Linked DNA regions of Pelodiscus sinensis. Each later gene encodes a partner of the first gene's protein in a complex. Links are inferred from orthologs where the notes say so. Each region holds a gene or a part of one and is shown on either strand. Other genes may lie near its edges.

What was found. Proteins that work in one complex are often made in the same cells at the same time.
Region 2: DNTTIP1 (region 1) and ZNF541 share a complex: the UniProt entries of both Homo sapiens proteins name them as parts of the histone deacetylase complex. The link is inferred for Pelodiscus sinensis from reciprocal best matches to the Homo sapiens genes DNTTIP1 and ZNF541.

What each region holds. Positions count from the first base shown.
Region 1 is NC_134728.1:12,173-20,144, reverse strand, and holds the start of DNTTIP1 (deoxynucleotidyltransferase terminal-interacting protein 1), read left to right. Parts: upstream 1-4,760; 5' UTR 4,761-4,775; coding exon 4,776-4,970; intron 4,971-5,283; coding exon 5,284-5,354; intron 5,355-6,232; coding exon 6,233-6,329; intron 6,330-6,825; coding exon 6,826-6,924; intron 6,925-7,972. Other genes in the region: uncharacterized protein LOC102461217, read right to left, coding at 1,180-1,393, 1,948-2,090, 3,738-3,756. UniProt on the Homo sapiens protein: Increases DNTT terminal deoxynucleotidyltransferase activity (in vitro). Also acts as a transcriptional regulator, binding to the consensus sequence 5'-GNTGCATG-3' following an AT-tract.
Region 2 is NW_027465999.1:198,461-206,927, reverse strand, and holds the start of ZNF541 (zinc finger protein 541), read right to left. Parts: upstream 3,027-8,467; 5' UTR 2,941-3,026; intron 1-2,940. UniProt on the Homo sapiens protein: Transcription regulator which is essential for male fertility and for the completion of meiotic prophase in spermatocytes.

The DNA.
Region 1 (7,972 bases):
TGTGCTTCAAAATGGATTCCTTGAGGCTCCCCTCCATGATTTTTCTGGGGACTGAGGTAAGGCTGATGGGTTTATAGTTCCCTGGATTTTCCTTCTTCCCTGGACCCTTTTCTTAAGAGAAGGGGTGTTTGCCTTGGCTTCTTGGCCAAATTCCAAAGCAGGGAATTCCATCCTGACTCCCTGGATTCCCACCTGGATTTTCAAATGAATCAGGTATTTGTTGTGCTGCGTCACTGGTGACTAGAAAGTGGTACGGAGATTTCTGATGCAAGCTTGGCTGCATGTGTCTTCTGGGGAAATGACATCTTGGAACCCAAATCCAACTCCTTCCGCCTGCCCCAGGGCACTTTCACAAGTTAGTCATGCAACAAACAAAGACACGGGGCCAAATTCAGCCCTGAGCAGATGTGACTCACTGATTTCCATGACGTGGCACTCACTTACACCAGGGCTGCACTTGGCCGCTCGGGGGACAGTCCCACAAAGGAGTCCAAGGGCCCTTCCCTGGGAGGGCACAATCCTGCAGTGCCAGGAGCCAGTCACAGGCTTGCCGCCTGCACCCTTTTCCCACTTGTGCACATGGGAACAGTCTGGAACCTCTGTGAATGCTTTTTGTGCGTTAGAAGCTCTAGAATTCAAACAACCGTTTCCTTACGGAGTGCTGAATCTAGCAGCACCTTGATCTCACTAGCACAGGGCGAGACTGTTCCCTGGTTCTGCATAGCTATGCAGGAGAGCAAGGCCTCCCACCTGTGGGGGACCTTCAGGGGACCAGGTTCAGGGACAGAGTAGAGGCAGCATCCAGGAGCAAGTGAGCAGAGTTCTGGAGCCTGGTCAGGCATGAGGGAGCAACAAGCTGCATGCTCAAGTGGTATCACAGTTCAAATCCCTCCTCCCCCGCCCAACTGCAAGAGGGGGAGCAGAAGAGGACTGAAGAGTCCCCGAATCACAGGACCTTGCTGGAGAGCACAGCTCTGTACTGCTGAGGTGAAAGGCTGTCCAGCCCTGGGAACTACAATGAACCTCCTTTCTGCCCCTGCACCTTGTGATCAATCCGAGTCTCACTCATTTGCGTGGCCCATTGCCTTTGGCTGGGGGAGGGCACAACGTCTTTTGTCTAAACCCTTTTGTATCCCCGTGAAGTCTGACTGTGATCCAAACACTGCGCTGCCGCCTCACCTGCTACCTGCAGGATGATGTCTGCCTGCTGATTGAAATGCCCAACTCTGGCCCACAGGGAACAGCGGTAGGCGCCAGAGTCCTCCGGCTGGACCTCAGGAATGACCAAGGATTGCTGCTCATCCATCAGGAACTCCCGCTGGGTCCCTGAATACAGGCGGGTGCTATTCTCATGTCTCCGGATCAGCCCCATTTCATGACTCTCGTTGGCTACCTGCAATGCCCCAACAGAAGCCCTGTGAGCACGTCAACAGCGATCAGCGACAAGCTGTGGACTATGCTGCCACCGATCCCAAACATCTGACTTCTACTTGTGCAAACATTGGCATGAGCAGCCGTGGCATTAATGTGGGTGACCCCGTTTTATGCACACCAATGCCCCGTTTGCATGTATAAATTAGGTACTGAGTCCCCTGCTAGCAAAGCTCAATGTTTCTTTCATGGGAAACAGGTGCAGCCCAATTGGCGACAACCCGCTAAAATGGTCTCAAACCTGGAAGCTGGACATGAAGAGGCAGACTTTCCTGTTGCTGAAGGGAGAGTCCATAGCAGCTGTCTGGAGAAACTACCACTTCCTCCAGGAGTAAGACAGAAAGCAGCACTGTCACACCCCTCTGGGTCTGTGCCTGCCCACCCCACAAGTCATGGCACGTGAAATAAGGTAGGGAGGACAGGACCCCTGGTTTGCTGGCCACGAGAAGCTCATAATGAAATTTGCTGCTGCTCAGAAAGGTTGCGACTTTCCAGGACGGTTAATAAAACAGTTACCTTGTACCAGCCAATGGCCCAGTAGTTGTGCATCCCTCCAGCAGCAGTGGGACATGGTAGGAGTGCAGTTTCCCCACACTGGGCTCTTACAGACCCAGCTGCCACAGCTGTTCTTTGCAGGAGAAGCCACAGGCAACAAAGAGCTAGAAAGGAGAGAATCAGGGTTCTGAGTAGTCTACTGCCGTGCCGTGCCGTCCCGTCCCCCCCCCCACACACACACACACACCGGTATTCTCAAGAGAGACTTATATCCAGGTATCAGAGGGGTAGCAGTGTTAGTCTGAATCTGCAAAAGCAGCGAGGAGTCCTGTGGCGCCTTATAGACTAACTGAAGTGTAGGAGCATAAGCTTTCGTGGGCAAAGACCCACTTCGTCAGATGTCTATAAGGTGCCACAGGACTCCTCGCTGCTTATATCCAGGAAAAGCCACTGATAAATCCGCTTCTGAATTCCTTATAACAGGAGCTGTTTCCACTGGGGCTGGAACCGAGGTCACCTTGGGAGGATTTCTTGTTAGTTCTATGCCTGCCTACTTATATACCTCCTGCACTTACTGGTGCTCAAAGGGTCCAGTACACCTTCTCCAGCTCTGTGAGACACCTTGTCCCTGAGTCCTTTTGCTGAGCTTTCAGAGGAGCTGCAGAAAAGTGACTGCTGTTTCTCTGAGATGCCATGAGTTTATTTGAAAGAAACTTCAGGCAATTAAAGCACAGAGACTGTGACCTGCTCCACATCACACAGGAAGTCTGTGGCTGAGCAAGGAATTGCATCGTGCGTCTTGTTTACATGGAGACTGAGTCTATGCTTTGAGCTAGAAGTGTAAATTCCCCAGTTCATGGAGCCAGCCCTAGGCTAGCTCAAAGTGAGTTAGTGTACTTAAACAAGAGTGTAGCCAGAGCGGAACACACGGTGAGTGGAGCTAGCTACTCAGAATATGCACCGTGTGTCCTGGAGGGATCTCACTCAGGGCCGCCAGCCCTTCCTGCCAGTCACGCAGCTTCAGCAACACTCTATTTTTAGTATGCAAGCTCCATCAGAGCAAGCATAGGTATGTTTCCTTGAGTTGAGAACTATCACTGCAGCTCCAAATGTAGATGCACCTGAGCAAATGGCAGGCCAGGGTGCAAATCTACAGCACAGCCTGTCAGGCACTAACAGGCCACACAGACCTCGCACTAAGCGTTTCATAGTGTAGAGCCCTGAATACATCACAAACGTTAATGTATTCATCTTACAACCTCCCTGGAGCTAGAAAAATATTATCCCCATTTTCCAGTTGGGGATACCGAGCCTAGGTGAGATTAAGCAACTTGCCCGAGGTCTCAAATTGAGTCTGTTGAACAGCCAGGAACAGAACTTAAATCTTCTTAACCACAAAATCATCTTGCGTCTTTCTTTCAGAGACACTTGGGGCAGAGGCTGTGTCTCCCCATGTCTGTAGCGTATTATTGGCACCGACAGGATGCAAAAAGAGTCATAACAGAGGACACTATTAGAGGAGAGGCGAAGACTTCATTTGGTTTTAAGAATAAATTTCACTCCCTTCCAAGTTACAGCTACGCAGACAAGTAATAACATTCTCCTGGAACATAAAAATAAGCAACTGAATTCACGTCCTCACAGGGAATTCTATTTCACATTGTACTGATCAGATGCACTGTCAGTCTCTCCCCTTGCTGGGCCACACAGCCTGTTGGGAGCTCACTCTACACCCTCTTGGCATGGTGCTGCCAAAGACGAGAGAAAGAAAGCGCAGGCAGGTGAATAAACGTCTAATGAGGAGGACTCACCCAAGCACAGGATCTGCATGGTCTGGGCAGCTTGCAGTCGCAGGAGTACCTGTGCCCCCTAAACTTCCTGTCGAGTAAATGGAAACAAGTGGGCTTGGCTATGCAGAAAACGAAAGCGAGCGCTTCATCAAACCCCGCTCCCCAACATGACGCACTAGCTGGGACCCTGACTGCGGCACCGCCTGAGCACAGGGACAGGCCCAAGGTCATCAGACTGCCAGAAGGAACGGACTGGACTGGAGCGTGTCACCCTAGGGCAGTGGGGGGTTGCCGGGCTGGGGGGGCGGCCGTGCCCGGGCCACGTGCCGGGTGGCGGGGCCGCCCACGCGCCATGGTCCAGGAGCCAGCACCGCACACGCCGTGGGCAGGGCCGCCCACACCATTCCACGGGGACACAAACACCCACGGGCGCCACGCTGGGGACCACGGCCCAGGGCCCTGCCAGGGCAGCCTCCCTCCTCCCACGCTGGGGCAGCCATTGCCCCCCCCCGCGGCTCTGCCCCTTGGGGCCTGAGACAAGACGCAGGCGCGGAGCGGGGGGGGAAGGGCCGGGCCGGGCCCCCCCAGGCAGGGCCCCCCCCACGGCGGCTGAGGCCGGGCCGGGGCCCCCAGGCAGGGCCCCCCCCACGGCGGCTGAGGCCGGGCCGGGCCCCCCCAGGCAGGGCCCCCCCCACGGCGGCTGAGGCCGGGCCGGGCCCCCCCAGGCAGGGCCCCCCCCACGGCGGCTGAGGCCGGGCCGGGCCCCCCCCGGCAGGGCCCCCCCCACGGCGGCTGAGGCCGGGCCGGGCCCCCCCCAGGCCGGGCCCCCCCCACGGCGGCTGAGGCCGGGCCGGGCCCTCGTGCAGGGTCTGGGGCCACGGGGCGGCCCGGGGCTCAGGCAGCCGCAGGGGCACGTGGGAGCGCGCGGCCCCCGGGGGCGGGCCAGCGGGGTGTGGCTCGGGCGGGGGGGGGGGGGGGGGCACGTCGCGGCGGCAGCGCGCGGCTCCGGCCCGGCGCGTGCCCGTGGGGAGGAGCCCGCCCCGCCCCTCGCAGAACAAGATGGCGGCCGGTTGCCATAGCAGCCGTCGCGCTTCCTCCTGGAGCGGCGTCGCAGGCGTGATGACGTCAGGCCCGTTCGGCTGCTTCCGGGTGCGGCGGGCCGGGGGCGCTGCGGGATCCGCGATGGGGGCGGCCCGGGACCCGGAGCAGCAGGCGCCGGGGGAAGGGGGCCTCGAGGAGGGGGATGGGCAGCCGGTGAGCGCGGGCGGAGGGGCCGCCTGGCGAGCCCCGGGGGGTGGCGGGGGGGGGTTGCCTGGCGAGCCCCCAGGGGGTGGCGGGGGGGGTTGCCTGGCGAGCCCCCCCCCGGGGGGAGGCGGGGGGGGTTGCCTGGCGAGCCCCCCGGGGGAGGCGGGGGGGGTTGCCTGGCGAGCCCCCCGGGGGAGGCGGGGGGGGTTGCCTGGCGAGCCCCCCGGGGGAGGCGGGGGGGGTTGCCTGGCGAGCCCCCCGGGGGAGGCGGGGGGGGTTGCCTGGCGAGCCCTGCGAGCTCACCCTGCCTCTCCTCCCGCAGAGCCCCTGGAACATCATGATCAAGCACCGGCAGGTGCAGCGGCGCGGGCGACGCTCCCAGATGGCCACGAGGTAACAGCTGCCCTGGCCGCGCTCCCAGCAGCACAAGTCTCCTCTGACACCCGCTGTGTGATCCCAGCGGGCAAGGCTCCTGCCAGGGCCATGCCGGGGCCAGAGAAAGGCTCCGTGTGAAGTCTGGTCCTGCCTCTGCCACCCGCTCCCTGGGCCAGCCACAATGTGGGGCGCTCGATCTGTATAGTGGGGCTCGCTACCCACGGAACTGATATTCTTTGGGGCTGGAAATGCTCCCTAGCTGCTAAGGGGTTGAGGCCACACTGTGAGATATCCGGCGTTCTAGGGGCCGTGGCAGGTTGTTTGATCCTGGTGAAGTGGGGGATTCATCAGAATGCTCATACTGGGCCAAGCCAAAGATCTGTCTGCCCAAGTGTCCTGGCTTTCAGCTTGTGGCCAGTGCCAGATGTATCCGAGGCAGTGAACAGAACAGGCCAATGTATCGAGTGATCCATCCCTGTCATCCAGGCCCAGCTTCTGGCAGTTACGAGGGTTAGGATCATCTCGGCTAATAGCCAGAGATCGGCCTGTGCTCTGGGAACCGATCTCGTTCTTTGTTGAACCCAGTTGTGTGTTTACATCACTTGCGTGCAAACCACACTCCTCTCGGGCTGACACTTGGAGCCAGAGGCACTTTGTGTTCTCCTCTGCTGGGAGACTTAGAGTTGGAATCAGTGGGTAATTCCGCTGCTGGCTTTGGAGTGGAAATCAGCTTGCAGCCTGTGTTGTGTCCTTTGCAGACGCCTGTAAACTCTGGCGGACACTCACGTGGGTGAGAGCATTCGGGAGAGCACTGCCGCGTGGGGCTTTGGGGACTGTCTGGGTGGTGTGCTAGGTGTGGCAGGAAAGCCAGGTGGAGTCATTTCTCTCTCATTCAGCTTTACAGACCCTGCTGTCTCCATGGATTTGCTGCGAGCTGTTCTGCAGCCTAGTATTAATGAGGAGATCCAGACTGTCTTCAATAAATACATGAAGGTAAAGCTCACAGGAAGAGGGAAATTTCTTGGACGGACATCATCCTTCCCCTGCCTCTAGCCTGTGCTGGAAGGTGCTGCCACTGTGAAAGCCCTGCCCCATAGGCCAAGTCACATACACAACCCAACCCTGTGAACTGAATAAGAGGGGCAGGTGAAGGCTGCTCTGCCTAACCCTGAAAGGGTCCCACTCCAGGACTCCTGGTCTGAAATCCACAGAACTGTAAAAGTGAGTTCTGCTGGAGGGCACTGAGGGACCAGAGAGCATGGAGTCTTCTCCCAAAGGATATGGAGCTTCCGAATGGGACTACGTCCCGTGTTCTCAGTGCTGACCCTGATGGTATTAGGTTGTGGCATGAGCAGAGGTGGACCCTGGAATTGCCAGACCCTGCTTTTGTCTGTGCAGAGAACAGCCTTGTCCCAAGGAGGCAGCCTTCTGTGGAAAGAGCTGAGAGCAGCCAGCGTCATGCTAACTCTCTCCTTGGGCCCCTTCCCAGTTTTTCCAGAAGGCAGCAGGTAACGTGAGAGAGAACGTCGGGGAGGACGTGGATCCAGAGCAGCTCATCCAGGAAACGTGTCGGAGCTGCCTAGAACAGGTAGGCATGTGCCAGCGCCACACACCTGCTGCCACCGCCCTCTGGGACCAGCCTTGCAAGGAAATACCTGCTGCATGGTCTCCTGGGGGTGCAGAGCATTACAGGCTGGCTTCCCAGGACCTCACAGTGCAAAGAGTCCCTGGAAACAGGCTTTTGGATTCAGGTCAGTGATACGCGGGCTGCCACTCCCTAACATGCCCCAGCGGCTCGGGGCAGCCGTGGTATTAAAATGCGTGTGGTTTCGTTGTTAGTCGGGATGTTTCTACAGTGTCAGTAACCGACTGGCATTGGTCGGTCACTTTGCTGTGTGACTTGTGCAGTGAGTTCACGCTGCTGCAGCTCTCGGGTAATTTGGCTCCTGAAGCATGGACATCTGAGAGCTGCCGGCCTGGGGAGAGGTGGTTGTATGGCTCAGTCAGCAGCGGGTCTGACGGGAGGCACTACGTGCTCCTCTCCCACTGAGCTGATGTGGGCTGCAAGTGTGGCACGGCTGAGGGGCCGGGGCATAGAGCCAGCACAGAGCTGCTTGTCTCCTACTCCTTTGCTATGCAAAGCCAAGCAACAAGGAATTCCAGGGGTGGTTCTAGGCCGCAGCAGCGGTGGGAGATGCAGTCACAGCTGTAACCCATACAGCCATACACCTTCAGTGCCTGGCCGGAGGGTGGCACCTTCCCTCTCACGTCCCACCCTTGGTGCTGTTCTCCAGGCCTGGCACCAGTTTCAGACTATTGCAATGAGCCCTGTGTGGGATGTCTGTTAGAGCTGGCCGGAGGCTGGCACTGGTGCAGAATGCAGCCACTTGCTTCCTGAGCGGGGCACGTCTCCGGGAGCATGTGACCCATGCTGCCCCGTCGGTCTCTATGTGAACACTAAGGTGCTAGGTATTACTTCCGCAGCAGTAAGTAGCCTCAGACCAGTGTTCACTCCACTCACGGATGGATAACCTTAGAGGGAGTTTCGTTATGTGCACCAATATTGAGGTCATATGTGCCGCCGCAGCACCTGCCGGTTACTAGCAAATAGATAGATCTCTCTAAAATTAATACTG
Region 2 (8,467 bases), on another chromosome or scaffold:
GAGATTACCCTAAAGTATGACCTCCTCATTCTTTTCTGAAGAATAAGAAGGGTGGTGGCACCTTTCCTAGGCTGAATTGAGGTGAAAGAACTTAATATTAACTGGCCAATGAACTAAACTAGTTGAATAAACTCAGCTGAAGACAGTATTCTTTGCACCTGAAGAGGTTATTGCTGTCAATATCTGGTTTAGCATATCAGCAAATTCTGGTTTTAGGTGCTTAGTTGGCAACTTCCACCAGTCTGATTGTTTTACTTTAAACTTCAATAGCAAACGTGCTTCTTGAATTATTTGTATTTAGTTTAAATGATTTTAATTTAGTAAATGTGTATGTCTTAATATAGGTTGAACATTTCAATTTTAATTTTCAATGGGTTTATTTTTTAAAAAGAAAAATGCATTTAAGTAAATACATCTGATTTCAATTTCAAAAGAATAAAAAAATGTTTAAATCACTTTTTATCCACTCTGACCCCTGGCCCTGTGAGAGATGAAAAGGAGGGAGGAGTCAGCCAGCCTCTGGCAAGGAGGGGGGATTGTTTTCTAGCTCTAGGCCCAAATGGGTTGGGACAATGCTCCTGGCACTGTGAGGATGGGGAAGACTGCTGTCCATGGTAGCAAAGGGAGGGGAGAGTTCCTGTTTGGGTAGAGACTACCTGTCCGGAGGGATGCAAAGGGACTGATATTACCCCTGGGGAGTTGCTCCTGGCTCTGGTGGTAGGACTCTGTGGGTTCCTTCCCCTGGTGGGGATAAGGCTGCTGCTCAAATTGGGAAGGGGGATGCTGCTCCTGACCCTTGTAGGATGGATACTGGACTATGATGGAGGGGTATCCTGGCCCCTGGAGGGAATAACTCCCTCCCTATGAGGGATGCCCCTAAGAATGTGTGGGACATCCCTACCCATGATGGGGATGGTGATCCCAACTGTGATGGGAATAGGGTGTCCCTCCACCTAGGGAGATGGGAGGGGGTCCCTGCCTATCATGGGAGTGATCTCCGCCCCAAACATATGGGCAGGGGAATTCCCAACTGTGCTGAGGGTGAGGGGGCAGAGAGGTCCCTGAGTGATGTGAGGGTCCCGGGCCCTGGAGGTGATGAGTGTGGAGGGCTTCCTGTCCATAATGGACGGGAGACTTCCTGCCATTGGCGGGGATGGGTGGGGGAGTACTTGTTCCCACAGAGAGGGGGGGTCCCTGCCCTAGTGGGTAGGGTGGGAGGTCCCTGTCTGTAATGAAGAATCCTGGAGGTGGCTGGCAGGGGAGGATGAATGGGAGTCCTTAACTGGGCCGGGGGTCCCATCCCTAGGGTGGGGGGGTCCCTACACCTGGCGAGGGGGTGTCCCTGCCCAGGATAGGGGGGCACTGCCCTGAGAAGTGGGACGCTGCCCAGGAAGGCGGGGGTTGTTGCCCAGGGAAAGGGGGGCACTGCCCCGGGGCGAGGGGCTGCCCTGGGGAAGGGGGTCTGTCCCGGGCGGGGGGGCTGCCCTGGGGAAGGGAGGGCTGTCCCAGGGGGGGGGCTGCCCTGGGGAAGGGGGGGCTGTCCCGGGCGGGGGGGGGCTGCCCTGGGGAGGGGGGGGGCTGTCCCGGGCGGGGGGGGGGGCTGCCCTGGGGAGGGGGGGCTGTCCCGGGAAGGGGGGGCTGCCCTGGGGAGGGGGGGGCTGTCCCAGGCGGGGGGGGCTGCCCTGGGGAAGGGGGGGCTGCCCTGGGGAAGGGGGGGCTGTCCCGGGCTGCCCTGGGGAGGGGGGGGGCTGTCCCGGGCGGGGGGGGGCTGCCCTGGGGGGGGGGCTGTCCTAGGGAAGGGGGGGCTGTCCCGGGCGGGGGGGCTGTCCCGGGCTGCCCTGGGGAGGGGGGGCTGTCCCGGGCGGGGGGGGGGCTGCCCTGGGGAAGGGGGGGCTGTCCTGGGGTGGGGGGGCTGCCCTGGGGAAGGGGGGGCTGCCCTGGGAGGGGGAGGCTGTCCCGGGCGGGGGGGGCTGTCCCGGGCTACCCTGGGGAGGGGGGGGGGCTGCCCTGGGAGGGGGGGGCTGTCCTGGGGAAGGGGGGGCTGTCCCAGGCGGGGGGGGCTGCCCTGGGGAGGGGGGGGCTGTCCCGGGCTGCCCTGGGAGGGGGGGGCTGTCCCGGGCGGGGGGGCTGCCCTGGGGAAGGGGGGGCTGTCCCGGGCTGCCCTGGGGAGGGGGGGCTGCCCTGGGAGGGGGGGGCTGTCCTGGGGAAGGGGGGGCTGCCCTGGGGAGGGGGGGGGGTGTCCCGGGCTGCCCTGGGAGGGGGGGGCTGTCCCGGGCGGGGGGGCTGTCCCGGGCTGCCCTGGGGAGGGGGGGGCTGTCCCGGGCGGGGGGGGCTGCCCTGGGCGGGGGGGGCTGCCCTGGGGAAGGGGGGGCTGTCCCGGGCTGCCCTGGGGAGGGGGGGGCTGCCCTGGGAGGGGGGGGCTGTCCTGGGGAAGGGGGGGCTGTCCCAGGCGGGGGGGGCTGCCCTGGGGAGGGGGAGGGGTGTCCCGGGCTGCCCTGGGAGGGGGGGGCTGTCCCGGGCGGGGGGGCTGCCCTGGGGAAGGGGGGGCTGTCCCAGGCGGGGGGGGCTGCCCTGGGGAGGGGGGGGGTGTCCCGGGCTGCCCTGGGAGGGGGGGGCTGTCCCGGGCGGGGGGGCTGCCCTGGGGAAGGGGGGGCTGTCCCGGGCTGCCCTGGGGAGGGGGGGGCTGCCCTGGGGAAGGGGGGGCTGTCCCGGGCTGCCCTGGGGAGGGGGGGGCTGTCCCGGGCGGGGGGGGCTGCCCTGGGAGGGGGGGCTGTCCCGGGCGGGGGGGGCTGCCCTGGGGAGGGGGGGGCTGCCCTGGGGAAGGGGGGGCTGTCCCGGGCTGCCCTGGGGAGGGGGGGCTGCCCTGGGAGGGGGGGGTCGCTGCGAATCGCAGCCGCCGCCTGAGGGGAGCGAGCCGCGCACGGGAACCAGCAACTTTACCCGTCGCCTCGCGCCCTTCTCGCCCGCTCCCGGCACGCGGCGCCGCCCCGCCCCGCCCCGCGGTCACGTGACGCCGGGCTGGGCGGGAAACGGGGCCGAGCGGCGGCGCCATTTTGTGAGAGGCAGAAACGAGGCGTTCTGGGGCGGGGAGGGGTGAGAACCCGGGAGAGGAGGTGTGAGGGGAGGGGCACGTGGAGGGGAAGGGCATGCGGGACGGGGGAGGGGCGAGCAGGTGTGAGGGGAGGGGCACGTGGAGGTGAGGGGTGAGGAGGTGTGAGGGGAGGGGCACGTGGAGGGGAAGGGCATGCGGGACGGGGGAGGGGCGAGCAGGTGTGAGGGGAGGGGCACGTGCAGGTGAGGGGTGAGGAGGTGTGAGGGGAGGGGCACGTGGAGGGGAAGGGCATGCAGGACGGGGAGGGGCGAGGAGGTGTGAGGGGAGAGGCAAGTGGAGGGGAGGGGCATGCAGGACGGGGAGGGGCAAGGAGGTGTGAGGGGAGAGGCAAGTGGAGGGGAGGGGCATGCGGGTCGGGGGAGGGGCAAGGAGGTGTGAGGGGAGAGGCAAGTGGAGGGGAGGGGCATACGGGTCGGGGGAGGGGTGAGGAGGTGTGAGGAGAGAGGCAAGTGGAGAGGAGGGTGGGAAGGGGAAGAGCTTGGAGGAGGGACATAGGGGCCAGGGGGGAGGGGAGAGAAGGCAGGAGAGGGAGGGAAGGGAGAAGTGGAGTGGGGGGTAATGGAGGGGGAGACGATGGGGAGGGGGCGGTGAGAGGAGGGCAGGATACATGCAAAGGTGGGAGGCTATGAGGGGACAGATGGCGGATGCGTGAGTGGGAGGAGAGACATGAGGGTGTTGAGAGGAGGAGGTGTTGTGGGAGGGGGAGGTGTGATGAAGAGAGGGGGAGAATTGTGAAGGGGAGCTTGGGAGAGACATATGGGAAGGTGCAGGTGGAGGAGTGAGAGTAAGTGTTTGGGGAGTGGGACCTGTGAGGGAGGAGTATGGAGACAGACTAGTTGTGGGGGGGTGGGGGGGAGGTAGGAACCATGCAAAAAGGAAGAAGCCCAAAGAAGGAAGGGGTTGGTTAGGGGTGGGGATGGAAATATGAGGGGGCTATAGAGGGAAATGTAAGGCGAGGGAGGAGGTTTATGAGACGGGAGGCAGAAAGTGTAACAGCACAGTTTGGAGAAAGTGTGAGAAAAGTGGAGAAAAAGCAGGTGAGACGGTGCTGTGACTGTTTCCTCACTCCTCCCTCCCTTCCCAAAGGTGGCTCATTTAGTTGTGAATTGAACATCTTTCTAAAGCTATAGCACATCACAAACCAGAAAAAAAAAGAAAAATGTGATGAATTTACCCCAATTTTAAGCAGGTGCACTGATTCTAATAATGGTTTTTGGACTTTTTACTCTGCATATGGTAGGGGTTTGCTCTTGGTAGGACATTTTACTCTGCGTATGGTAGGGGTTTGCAACTACACTCTTGGCTAAAAAGGAAGCAGATCACTAGTCCAGGCAAGGCTATAGAGAGGAAGACTCCTCTGTTGTGGGCATGTGATTCCAATGTCTCATGGTGTTACAGAGTAAAGTGTTGCAGGAGATGAGGAGAGTTGTACCATGCCTAACCATGATTGCCAACAAGTGTGGTTAACTGACATGGTAATGAAACTGAGCCTGAAACAGGACTACCCCAGTGCCTTGTGTAGTTATGAACAGTAGTGCAAAGGATAAATAAAATGCTATCACATAAAAATGATACCTCTTTCTACAAAGTGACATAGGGTTACATAGCTACATGGGGTGTAAGGGTGTGGGAAGCCAAGCCTAATGTTTTTATTCATGATCAGAGTTATTAACCTTTGTGTGCTAATGTAATTTTCATTGGGGTGTTACAATTCTATCTACTAAAACTCTTTTTGCAGTTTCATTTGAAGAAATAGCTGGTGTATTCTATCCCATAGAGGTTGCATTTCAGTAGAAAGCTGTGTGCATACTAATCAGTGAGCTAAAACTGGCATTAAATTGGTATTCAATATTACATGTTTGACAAGTGATCACAGCTTTGGTTTTATATTTTCAACAGCTAGCCCTTCATACTGTAAATTTCTCTAATGTACTTTGGTTTTCAGCTTAAAACATTCAGGCTGAAACATCACCAGGAGAGATGTGAACTTCCACCATTTACCTTAATACAGTATTAAGTTAATTTAATTTATTTCAGTTAAAATTCAAATGCTAATCATGACCAGTCAAATAAAGAACAATGTTAAATGTATCAGCATTTGAACAAACACATCAAGTTACTGCACTTACTATAACAGGGCCTATTATAGTCTACCATTTCCATGGTTATGGAAACATTCCATGTCAATAAAGCTGCAAGTTTAGAACAGGAAAATAATCAAATATCCTTTTGATTATGTAATTGTGACATTTGCTGCTATCCATTGCAATTAAATAAACGTAGATTTCAAAGTACTATTAGCAGAATAGATCTGGGATTGCCATGATGAGGTTGGCAAGATTATGTGGCATTTTTATATAAAATCCATTTTGAACTGATATAAATGACTACACAAGGTGAAGGGTTGTCCTGATTCAGATCCGGTTTCGTTACTGTGTCAGCTAACCACAATTGCTGGCAATCATGTTCAGACATGGTACAACTCTGTCAAGTAGGTTAGGATGAGAGTGACTCCCCTGAACTTGAGAATGCATGGAGAGGCCCCAGGCTTCCTATCTCTAGCTCAGGTAATCAAGCTGAAAGCCTTAAAAAGTGGCTAGACAGATTTCAGGAGAAAGCAGATGACAGCTTACTCTGGAAGCTGGGAAGAGAGCTTTGGAAATATGGCATGTCCTGTTCATGGTTTTTTTTTTAATGTTTTTGTTTGATTTGGTGTTTAAAGCCTGTTCATCTGAACAAAGGGAAAGTGGCCAGAGATGTTATTAACCTGCTTTAGTATTGGCTCCACCAGAAAACATGCCCATAAACTTGCAACTCAAAAAAAGTCCAGGTTTTTTGAACCATATGAACCCTGCCTCTAATATACTACATACAAAACTATGTGTGTAAGACAGATCTCAATAATTACATTTTATGTTTATATAGAGAGAGATATTCAGGACAGAGAATATCTAATTTAAAAATATATATCATTTAAATGTTTTTCCTGTCAAGTTAGAAATTAGAGGCCAAATTTATTTCTAGTTCGGCTCCAAACCGGACCTGAATTTGTCTCTATCTATATTTAAAATGTTCCTTTTTTTCTGATGTAACCAGTGCTAGAGATGTAAAATTCCAATGAACCAGGTAACCCATTAAATGGTAGGTTAACCTAATGTTTAACTGGTTAAGTGACTAAGAAGGATCCCAGGAGGGAGAATCGTTCTGGCACGGGACTATAGGTAGGGCTGCTCCCAGGGAACCAGTTAATTGTTACCTGATAGCATCACTGAGGAAGGGTAATGCTTATTGGGTAACCAGTTACCCCTTCACATGCCTAATAACCAGTGAGATTATTAAAACCAGTGCTTTTTTTGTGCTGGTAGTGCCCACAATGGCGTACTGTCACCTATTTTCCCAGCCCACAGAAAAAGAATGGGATTTTCCCTGAACATACTGGCACCTGTTTCCTGGGGCAGCTCGGCTCCTGACGGAAGCCTTCTTGGGACGCGCGGCATTTTTTTCCCCCGGCTCCCAATGCAGCACTATGGCTCTTAAAGGGGCCGTGACCACATTTCAGCCCCCGACATGAGGCTGGTTTTTTTGCTCAACAAGTTTGCCCCAGAGTACCTACACCTTTTCCCTTACAAAAAAAGCACTGATTAAAATTCAAGAGATTTTAAATGTCTTGTTTGACATCAATCATTACGTTGTTAGTTTTCTTTCTGTACTTCATTTGGATTGGAACAAAGTCAATCAGTTACCTTCTAGCGGTTGATTCTCATTTTTTAGCAAAATGCTGTCATATTTGATTTGCATACTTACAAAAAAATGTTTGAGTTCAAAAGACATTTTAATGGGCATTTTCTGCGTGTGGGTGTGTGTACTGAACCTTCAACCGATGGAGCTCATATTCTATGACACCGTTGGTGAGCGACTAAGCCAATGCTTGTTTGGCAAATCTGATTATAGAGGTCACATCAAAATCTGCCCTCTGTAGATGTTGTGAACTCTTCAGATCCTGCACTTTTCCTGTAATGTCTGGATACATTGACTCTTGAAGTGTTTGAGAGCCTGTTCAATAGTTTACTGCCAGAATAGTCTATCCTGAGCTATGATTTCCAGGTCATCGGGAGATACAGCACTTGACTTCACATTGGCCTTTAAAATATCTTTATAATGCTTATAATAACCACCAATAACAGAGTGCTTTCTATGAACAAGCTGGTCATAGAAGACCATCTTCAGCATCCATATATCATCTGTTCTCATGACATCACCATGAAACTGTTTTGTTCATAAACATTGCTTCCATGCCCATGACATCACACAGCCTGAGGACCTCTTTGTTAGGAATTTTGTCCCACCAATCTTCCTGAGGTAGCACACAGGGGCAGATGACCGTTTTGCAGGGCCCTGGGCAGCATAATTCCGTGGAGCCCCCCCTTTGCCACGGCGCATGCGCAGTGACGCTATGCGCATGCGCAGCGGTGCCACGGCGCATGCGCGGGGCTTTCTGAAGCGCGGGGCCCGGGGCAGCCGCCCCGTTCGCCCTGCCCTATATCCGTCCCTGGCAGCACATATGAAATTGATCGAGATTCAAAATGTGACAGTGATATATGGTCAATGACTCTGAGTGATACAGCAGGCTATTCAGGACAACTGCCTGATAAACTTCATACAAAAGTAACAATTTATCACTGTGGTCATTCCATAAGCACTTGGTCAGTATTCTGAAGGCAGCACTGGCTGTGGCTAGTCAAGCAGATACATCATTATTATCATCATACACAGGGCTTGGCGAGCCGCGCAAGCCCTGCTCACCAGCCGTGCTGTCGAAGAAGAGCCGAACCCGGCTCTTCCAGGTTGTAATCTACTCGCCACAGGCGAGTAGATTACATAGATTGTCAAGCCCTGATCATATATATATTTCCAGTGAATAAGAAGAAATGTTTTTATATATATTCACATATGCTGTATATATGAAAGTAGTTTTTCTCATTAGATTTTGTAAAACTTTTTAAAGTAAATTTTAAACTTTGTGTTTAAACTATTAGGAAGAAGAGTGAGTACCAACTATGTAAACAAAAAGAGCCAGGATCTTGTGTTTTCCTGGAAACTCTGCCATAGACTTACTGAAAGGCCATGGATGAGTTACTTAATTGTTCTTTGCTTCAGTTTGTCCTTTCATAAAAAGAGTATTCTATTGACCTATCTTAATGGGGAGCTGCAAGGTTTAATGAACTAATGTTTGTTATAATTATTAGAAATCTTCAGGTCTAGCAAAGGGAAAATACCATTATTATTTATAAGTATTCTTTAATTAATACCATTCTATTCCTTCCCAAATGTAATTCTTTTTACTATTATTCTAGA